Sus scrofa: one gene and its partner. The protein of the gene in region 1 purifies or fractionates together with the protein of each later gene. This does not show direct contact. Links are inferred from orthologs where the notes say so. Each region holds a gene or a part of one and is shown on either strand. Other genes may lie near its edges. The genes, in order: RCC1 and RANBP1.

Evidence for each region.
Region 2: the proteins of RCC1 (region 1) and RANBP1 purify together in Homo sapiens (affinity purification with mass spectrometry; 3 studies listed by BioGRID and IntAct, counting the BioPlex papers as one, with this or other methods). This does not show direct contact. The link is inferred for Sus scrofa from reciprocal best matches to the Homo sapiens genes RCC1 and RANBP1.

Annotation. Positions count from the first base shown.
Region 1 is NC_010448.4:85,544,460-85,549,026, forward strand, and holds the start of RCC1 (regulator of chromosome condensation), read left to right. Parts: upstream 1-1,531; 5' UTR 1,532-1,623; intron 1,624-2,010; exon of another isoform or gene 2,011-2,145; intron 2,146-4,567. UniProt on the Homo sapiens protein: Guanine-nucleotide releasing factor that promotes the exchange of Ran-bound GDP by GTP, and thereby plays an important role in RAN-mediated functions in nuclear import and mitosis.
Region 2 is NC_010456.5:51,492,988-51,497,331, forward strand, and holds the start of RANBP1 (ran-specific GTPase-activating protein), read left to right. Parts: upstream 1-1,270; 5' UTR 1,271-1,533; coding exon 1,534-1,548; intron 1,549-1,555; exon of another isoform or gene 1,556-1,963; coding exon of another isoform or gene 1,964-1,987; intron 1,988-2,529; coding exon 2,530-2,666; intron 2,667-4,344. Other genes in the region: TRMT2A (tRNA (uracil-5-)-methyltransferase homolog A), read right to left, coding at 192-751, 867-893. UniProt on the Homo sapiens protein: Plays a role in RAN-dependent nucleocytoplasmic transport. Alleviates the TNPO1-dependent inhibition of RAN GTPase activity and mediates the dissociation of RAN from proteins involved in transport into the nucleus.

The DNA of each region.
Region 1 (4,567 bases):
GATCCATGGGAAGTGAGCTTTATTTTGGATGTTGAGTCTTCTGGGTAGAGCCGTAGGTCTGAAACTTAGGGTGGGGGTCAGAACCAGACCAGATGGACTGCCCTCTCAGTTAAAAGATGACAGCTCAGCCCGGAGCAAGCATTCTGATCTACCACTTGTATGATGGCCCGAGCCAACTTGTTTAACAAATGTCAAGGTTTTTGTGAGGAACAGATGAACTAATGGACATGAATGAACGTGTTTCTGTAAAGTAAAATGTTCTACAAAATAGGTGACAATACTTATTTTTATAATTACATCAAGCCATGTGAATGAGTAAGATCTTGGAGGAAGAAAGCAGAGAGAGATCAGAGATCCCAGGCTTAAAACTTGGAGGAATTTCACAGTATATCATCCGTGAGTGGAGTCTGTGATGGAGGCGGAAGTCAACTTGAGGAGGTAAGAAGCCCTGAAGATGGGGAATGCCTTGGGGTGGGCTCTAGAGAAGAAATGCAGTTAGTAAATACCAAAACTATCCATCTAGAGTTCAAGTATGGGAGAATGACTTTTAGAATTAGAGTCAACGTGACATGAAGGAAATATTCTTCTACAGAGGTCACTGGCCTGACTTGGGAAACCCCCAGACACAATCAAAAGGCCTGAAAAGTCACCACAAGGAACACTTGAAATCCTGAAGAATAGTCTGTATCCATCCTGAAGGAGTGTGTTAAGGAGAGTGGGTAGTTTGCTTCCTGCCTATTTAACATTCTGGCCCCCCACCTCAATTCACACCCTCATCTTTCTTTTCTTTATTTCTTTCTTTTTTTTTTTCTCCACAACCTAATCTTTCTTACCTCATTGCTCTCCCCCACTGTTGGTTTCCCCTTCCAAGTCTATTCTCCATTTTCTTCTAAAAAAATCTGCTCATGTCACTGACCTGCTCAAATCCCTTCTGTAGTTCCCCACTGCCTAAGGTTAGAGGCTCTCTCCTTAAACACACAAGACCCTGAATCCGCGGTCTGTCTCTTCCTCTCCCGTTTTCTTTCCTGTCACTCACTCCCAGGGCACCCTCTGCCCCAGTCAGGCCTTGGCAGTTAGTTTCCCATAATGACCAAAGGCTCTCATGGCTCCCTGTCATCGCAAGGGAGGCTTCTCCTAGGAAGCCCTACACTTTCCGGCTTAGCCTGGAAAGCCTTTCTTAAGCCCCAGCTAAGTCAGATAACCCTGTGCGTACCTTTGTCATCGCCCTGAATAGTTTGGTGATAGTCTGATGTCTCTTCTTTCTCTGAGAGCCTCTTGAGAGAAGGGAAGATCAGTATCTATTTGCCCGTACAGTCCCGTCCACACCAAATCTTCCCAAACAAACTCTGATTTCAAGTGCTCTTTCTGGTTGTCAGTCCACTTGTCCCTATTTGGGGTCTCCAAAATATACACCCACTGTACCCGGGCCAGGGTGGAGGTCAAGAGCGCCCTAGCCAGAGCGCGCCACTTGCACTTCCCGGGGCGGCCGCCAGGGGCCGCCGGGCCCTTTGTTTTCTTTTCTGGCCCGGGGTCGGGGCCGGAGGCCCGCAGAGCGCATGCTCTGGGGCAGTTCTCGGCCGGGCCGGCGATCGGAGGAGTTCCTTGTGGCGGACCTGCAGCGAGGTAGGTCGTGCCCGTCACGCGCGGAGGGTCGGAGCGGAGGGTGGCGCGCAGGGCGGGCACAGCCGGGGTACCTGCGGTTGCCGGCGGGCCGGGGCCGTTGCCTGCGCGCGCCCGTGTGGCGCGGCGCCGGCCCCACGTGAAGCCGGGCGGCAGGGAGGCGCGTGTGCGGGCGCGCGGCTCCCCGGCCCCGCAGGGCGCCCGGGAGCTGGCCGGGCCCCGCCTCGACCGAGCGAGGGCCGCGCGGCCCCTTCGCCGCCGCGCGGAACAAGCCTGGCCCGCGCCAGTCGCGCGGGCGGGAGATTCAAACGGCCCGAGCGCGGCCGGCCGGGGTGCGCGCGGCCGCGGTGACCTCGCCGCCTGCGGTGCGCAGCCCCGCGCGCCTCCCTGGCCAGGGCGGCTGTCCCGGCTGGGGCTGCGTTTCCGGAGCGGGAAAGTGATTTCGTCCAGCGGTGGTTTGGAGAATGCGATTTGCGGAGTGGCGGAGGTATCCTGCCCCGCGTGGGTCTGCTTTAGGAACTCGAGGTAGGCTGCAGAGGGTCTGCGCAGGGAGCGAAATCTCAGTGTCAACAGGCATCACGGCGACGACTGTTGACCCGTCGGGAGGTGTGCTGTGAACTCCGCATCAACTCATCTGTCAGGAGATTATTTACTGGCTGTCTCCTCCGTGCTGCCCTTGCAGGGCTGGGAAACATGGTGAGAGGACCCTGTGTAGCCTTGTCAGAGCTCCTGGCCTCTCTGGGGTGACCGGTGTGGGATCACAGTTATGGTTTAGGGTGATTTTTGAAGTATGCCAGTCGAGCCGGAGCGCTGCTGCTGGCTAATAGTAACTGAGGTGCTGCAACCAAGTATGACTTGGGCACCCCAGCCTAGGTTGAGTGTATGGAGGATGGAGAGGAACTCAGTCACTCAAGCCTGCCCAGGAGGGGTCACAGGGATGGCTTTGCCGCCAAGGTGATTTGTCCAGGGTTTTGAAGGAATTGGCAGATTGAGGGTGGAGGGGTTAGGGTGATCCAGGCAGGGAACAGAGCACACGGCAAAGGCATGAAGGTGTAGGGAGTGTTGTGATCCGGGGCTACCACGGGTGTTTGAGTCTGACTGGAGCACGGGGTACAGAGAGGGGAAGAGCAAGATGATTCAGCAGTGGTTGGGTCTCAAAAGGTCTGGAGTGCAAGACCAAGGAACTCTGGGTGGGAGTGGAGGCAGGGGTGGTTTCATCCACGAAGGGCATCAGAATGGAGTCTGGAAAGATCAACCAGGAGTTCTCCATGCTGCTGTTGCAAAGGCATCCCCAGAGCCGGAATCTTGTTCAGCTTTGCAGTGTCCTCGTTGGGTGCCCTTGAGCCACCCACCCACTCCCCTTGAGCCTTATTTTCCTTAACTGTAAAATGATAGGAGGCAGGTGGTGAGGATTACTAATATCCTATAATTTCCATAAAGCTGTGGTTCTGACATCTGGTGGAAGGTGTGGCCCCGGCTCAGCTCGGTACATAAGGGGGATTCCTTGGTAAGGAGCTCCTGGATGAAGTATACCAGCTCTGTGCCTGACACGAGGCAGGAGCTTATTAGCAAATGTTTGTTGACACATGAGTCTCAGAGCTCTTGGGGACTTTTCTCACAAAGATTCTTCAGCCTTTGCATCTGGTGGGCAAGTGTCTTTCGGGTTAAGGGGGGTGGAACACAGCTGCTGTGGTCAAAGAGGGCTCTGTGTCCCTTTGAAGAAATGAGGTCACTGGGGGTCACAGCAGGCTCCTGGTAAACTGTCTAGTCTGCTGTGCCTTCATTCACCAAATGAGGAAACAGATCCAGGGGGGTACTTGGGGAAGGGGCAAAGCTTTGGTCCTGCTAGGGAGTGGTCAGCTGTCATCCCACCTCTGTTTGGCCCAGGCCACCTTCTCCTGAGCCTCCACTTTCTTATTTGTAAAGGCAGAATGATCACACCTCTGGGGGCAGGTGTGTGCATTCTAGGAGAGGCTGGTACTCCTTAGGTGCCTATTGGCGGAAGCTGACTCTGTATCTGACGAACCGTGATTATATCTCACTCTTCTACCAGACTGTAACCTCCTTGAAGATGGAAGCTGTGTTTGTTGGGGAGTGCGGGGTGCAGACAAAAACTACTACTTAGTCCCAACCCAGACATTCCCTGTGTGATTAAGAAAACACACCCATGGAGTTCCCTTATGGGTCATTGGGTTAAGATCCAATGTTGTCATCGCTGTGGCTCAGATTGCATCCCTGGCCTGGGAACTTCTGCATGCCATGGGTGCAGCCAGAAAAGAAAGAAAACATACCCAGAGCGGTTAGAGAGTCTGTCCAAATGACTGATTAGTGTAGTAGAGGATATGCAGGTGGGTAATGGGTGCAGGGCTCCACCTTTTGGGAGGTGCCCTTTCACCCCTTGTCATGCCTCTAGAATTGTTCACAACAGCACGCTGCAGTGCCTGGAGCCCCTGTTTGAGAGATGCAAATTCTCAGACTTGAAGGGAACACAGGTTTCTGAGACTTGAAAACCAGTGCTCTCTCCACCACTGCACGGAGTTGTACCCATTGTCCTTCCACACATCCTTCAGCAGATCCGTCTCTACCTGGCCCACCCTCCCAGGCCCGAGCTGCCTCCGAGTCTCCTCCCACCATCCTGTCCCTCTGAGCAGGCTTCTGCCCTCTATTTCTTGTTTTTGGCCAGGCTTCTGGGGGCTTTTGGGGTGGCCTGTCCAGGCTACCTCAAACTCTCCCTAGATCATGGCCTACTTTTAGCCAACCTGTTCTTGTTTTGTTTTTGTTTTTGGCTACGCCCACAGTATGCATTAGTTTTCAGGCCAGGGATCAAACCTGTGCTGTGGCAGTGACCTGAGCTACAGCAATGACAATGGTGGATTCTTAACCCACTGAGCCACCAGGGAGTTCCCGTTTTTTGTTTTTGCTTTTTTTTTTGGCCACCTGGTGGCCT
Region 2 (4,344 bases), on another chromosome or scaffold:
GCCAACTGCCCATCCTCAGCTACCCTCCAAATGGCCAGGCGCCTGGGCCCCCACTTGGGACCTCATTGACCCAAGTGGTAACACAAGGGTCCTACTGGCCAGCGCCCCAGAATGACATCTGTACGCATGGGGCAAGCTCAGGAGGCCGCTTATGGGAGCTGTGCCAGGGGATGCTTTGACCCAACACTCACTTGGCTAGCTTCTGCAGCACCTGCTCACATTCCAGTCGCTTGCGCTCAAGCTGCTCTGCATAGGGCACGGTCCAAAGAGGGGTCACTACATCAGCGATACAGGTGGCCTGGGAGGCTGGCGGCTCACCCTCGTCCTCTCTCTGCCTCTTCCTGGCCATGGGATCAGCCTTCGGCCTCGCTAGGCGCACGCTGAGCGGGCGGCCCTTCCAGAGGGCGCCGTGCAGCACGCACAGGGCCTTGTCGCGCTCGGCGGCGCTACGAAATGTCACGAAGGCGCAAGGAGGCTGCCCGAAGAGTTTGGTCTTGTGGGGTTGCAGCCCAAAGCGGCCCAGGAAGCGCCGGACGTCGCTGAAGCTGGCATGGCGCGGTACGTTCTGCAACTCCAACTTAAAGATCTCCGAGGTGAACAGGCCGGCCCGGATGTAGCTATAGGGCCCCGGCTGAACGTCCGGCCCCGCGGCCCCAGCGTCCAGATCCTTCTCCTGCTGGGGGCCCGGGGCCGCGGGGCTGCCCGGCGCGCTGGGGCTGTCCTGACCGGGGTCCCCCACGCGCGCCTGACCCTGCGTGGAGACAGCAGACAGGCGGGTTGGCAAGCGCCCGAACGCCCGGCCCTCTGTCTCAGCCACCCATCTCACCACCCGTCCCTAACTCCAGCGGAATTTCCCTTCCCCGTACTTCGCTGTCGGGCTCGTCACCCATCATCCACTCTGTCCGCGGCCTCGTCCAGGGCCTTGCAAACAGGGGGCGCGCGGTGAGCGGGTGCGACTCCGAGAGGCAGGCCTCGCTCCAGCCCGGGCGGAGGCAGGACTCCCTCGGTGCTCAGGTCCAGGTCTCAGGCATGGCCCGGGCCCCCCACTCTCCTTGCCGGTCACTTTCCCGTCCGCTGCCGGCGCGCGTATCCCAGACAGCGTGTCTTAATCGTCTCGGCTTCCGGCGACATCATCGCCTCGCGCCGCTGAAACCCCCAGCCGCGCCTGCGAGCTCCAGGGGCGCGCGGCCGCGGGGCGGAAGTGCGCGCGAGGGCCGCCGGGAGTGCGCGTTCCCCCGCCTGCCGGGCTGGCCGGGCATGCGCCGCGGGCCTTTTGGCGGGAAGCGCGGGGCGGGCTGGACAATGAGAGTGTCTGCCGCCTGAGCCAATAAAGCTGTGCTGGTTTTGAATCGCGGCGCGTTTCCCGCCGCCGGGGTCAGGGGTCGGGGGTTCAGGTCGCGGGGCGGAGGGAAGAGCGGGCGGGCGGGAGGCGCCGGCGCCAGACGCGGAGGAAGAAGCTGCGACCAGCCGCCGAGAGGCCGCGGAGCCCGCGACGACCGAGCCCGCCGAATTGCCGCCGCCGCCGCCGCGCCCATGGCGGCCGCCAAGGTGGGCCGGGCCGGACAGGCCGGGGCGGGGGCCGGGCGGACTGGGGCCGCTACCGGCGGCCACGTGGGCGGCCCGCGCCGCCGCCAACCCCCACCGGCTTGCGGGCTCGGGTGCGGGGCCTCGTGACCTTGGGGCGGCCCGGCCTCGCGCTCGCTCCTCGTTTCCGGGCCGCTACTTGCCGCGGGCCCCGCACCGAGACGGCCCCCTCCCGCGGCCCGCGCAGCGCTCCATTCATCCGGTGGTGGCCCTCGAACCGCTACCGGACTCCGTGCCCGCGCGCGGTCCGGCGGGCGGCCTGTGGCGGCGGAGACAACGCAGTGCAGCCCGGTGCGGTCCGGCTAAGGGGCCGGCAAAGGCCTGCGTTTTTGGGCCGAGCCCGGGAGCGAAGTCTCTGGGAGTCTTAGCCTCCGGGTCTATGGATCATCAAGCCACGTGTTCCGTGAGACAACCTAAAACACCATCCTTTGTGTGCCGTAGTTAGTTCTCTGCACTGGAGCCGAATTCTATAACTCTTTTGTGTGAATCTTTTTAGTTTTTAAATCTGGTTTCCCAACCGAGATTAAATTGCTGGCAGAACTGTGAATTCTGTGTAAACGCTAGCAATCTTATCACAACTTTTTTTTTTCTTTGAAGTAAGAGGGCAGATTTTTCAGTAAAAATTCAGATGGATGATTTTGGTTTTAAGAGTATACTGAGGCTCTCTTCTCCTCATCACTGTGTCCTTGATCTGCATTTGACAGTGAGGCGTTCCAGGACCCTTGGAATTCCTGAAGCCCAGTTAGTCTGTGCAGTTTTGGTTGTTGCATCTGAGGGAGGGTGACAGAGTCCAGAGTCTTGCTGCAAGTCCCTGCAGAAAGCTTTGGGATGAAAGGCTTTTTAAGCCTTTGTTTTGGTGTGAGGCTGTTGACTAGTGGGGTTGCCCACCGTGGCCACTGGTGAGCTCTAGCACGGCCAGCAGGGTCACGACTCCCTCCTCTACAGGACACCCATGAGGACCACGACACCTCCACCGAGAATGCTGACGAGTCTAACCATGACCCCCAGTTTGAGCCGATAGTTTCTCTTCCTGAGCAAGAAATTAAAACGCTGGAAGAAGATGAGGAGGAGCTTTTTAAAATGTAAGTGAACTGATGTTTTTTCAGAAGGAGGTATCTTTAGTTTAAGATGGCACCTAGTGGTTTTATAAATTTCCAGAGCTTGGCTTGACCTTTAGCCATACCAAGGGTTTTGTGATGGCTAATCCCATGTGGAAATCAAGGTGGCTGTTAGCATTTACCTATTCCATGGCTCCCTGGTGTCCTGTTACCATAGCTCTGTCCACAAGGGACATCTCCCAGACCCCTGTGCTTGCTACCCGTGCCTCTAAGACTTCTGAAGCCCTTGCCCCCGCTTGAGTATTGGCTCTTTAGTGTTACGCTCTCTCTTTTTTTTTTCAACACAAGGACACTCTGAAGCACATGATTTTCTGATTCAGTGTCTTTGGCACACTAGGCAAAACTTGGAACTACAAGTGGAAGTGGGTAGTGTTAGAGTTACTCGGAGTTCCAGTCGTGGCTCAGTAGTTAACCCAACTAGCATCCATGAAGATGCAGGTTTGATCCCTGGCCTTGCTCAGTGGGTTAAGGATCCGGCGTTGCCATGAGCTGTGGTACAGGTCGCAGATGTGGCTTGGATCTAGTGTTGCTGTGGCAGTGTTGTAGGCCGGCAGCTACAGCACTGATTTGATCCCTAGCCTGGGAACCTCCATATGCCGCGGGTGCGGCCCTAAGAAGACAGAAAAAAAAAGAAAAGTTTCTTGGTGGCAACTACAAGTAGCTGTAGCTGCCATGCCACTTTGAAGCACTGTTTGCAGAATCTCTGTGTCCAGATGTCTGTGATAGTCACAGTACTGACAGCAGCACTGACACGGATTAAAGGAGACACTGGTGTAGCCCCAAGTTAGCGGAAATTGGGGGCAGGGTGGAACAGATTCTTCCCACCCCTTCGGACTCCGTCCAGGATGCCAGATTGTGGTTTGACTGTTTTGTTGTGAGTTGGAGGAGGGAAGCAGCGGGGCCAACACTGCTACCACTCTCTAAGGCAGGGAGGCTGGAGAAAGCAGCCCCTCCCTACCCCTCCCAAGGGCCTGAGGAGGAGAGCCACACACCCCTTAGGTCTCAGGGCTGGAGGCACAGGTTCTCTGGGTCTCTGTTCTGCCTGGAAGCGCTGCCGCCTCTCTTGACAGTTGAGTTTGGGAAGAGAGCAGTTTTTGCAGGGAAGGGGCCAGCAGAGCTGGGATCCTATGGGGACGTCTCCTGCTGCTCTATGCCCCAGGGACGCCAGGGTGCCCATGCACCGCAGTGGCAGCCTCTTCTGGGAGTGCTGCTGCACTCTCTGAGAGGGCAGGTCTTTTTTCCCATTTTTATTTTGAAGTAAAAACCCACAGTCTAGGGGGTTCCCGTCATGGCTCAGCGGTTGATGAATCCGACTGGGAACCACGGGGTTGCGGGTTCGATCCCTGGCATTGCTCAGTGGGTTGAGGATCCGGCATTGCAGTGAGCTGTGGTTTAGGTCGCAGACGCAGCTCAGATCCCACGTTGCTGTGGCTGTGGTGTAGGCCGGCGGCTGCGGCTCCAATTGGACCCCTAGCCTGGGAACTTCCGTGTGCCGAGGGAGCGGCCCTAGAAATGGCAAAAAGACAAAAAAAAAAAGAAAACCCACAGTTTTGTTAAGTTGTCTTGATTCTCTGGTGACGTCTTGACTTGTGGTTCTTGGAGTGCAAGGAAAGGAGGGCCATTTGGCAGGGCCTCCTCTGTC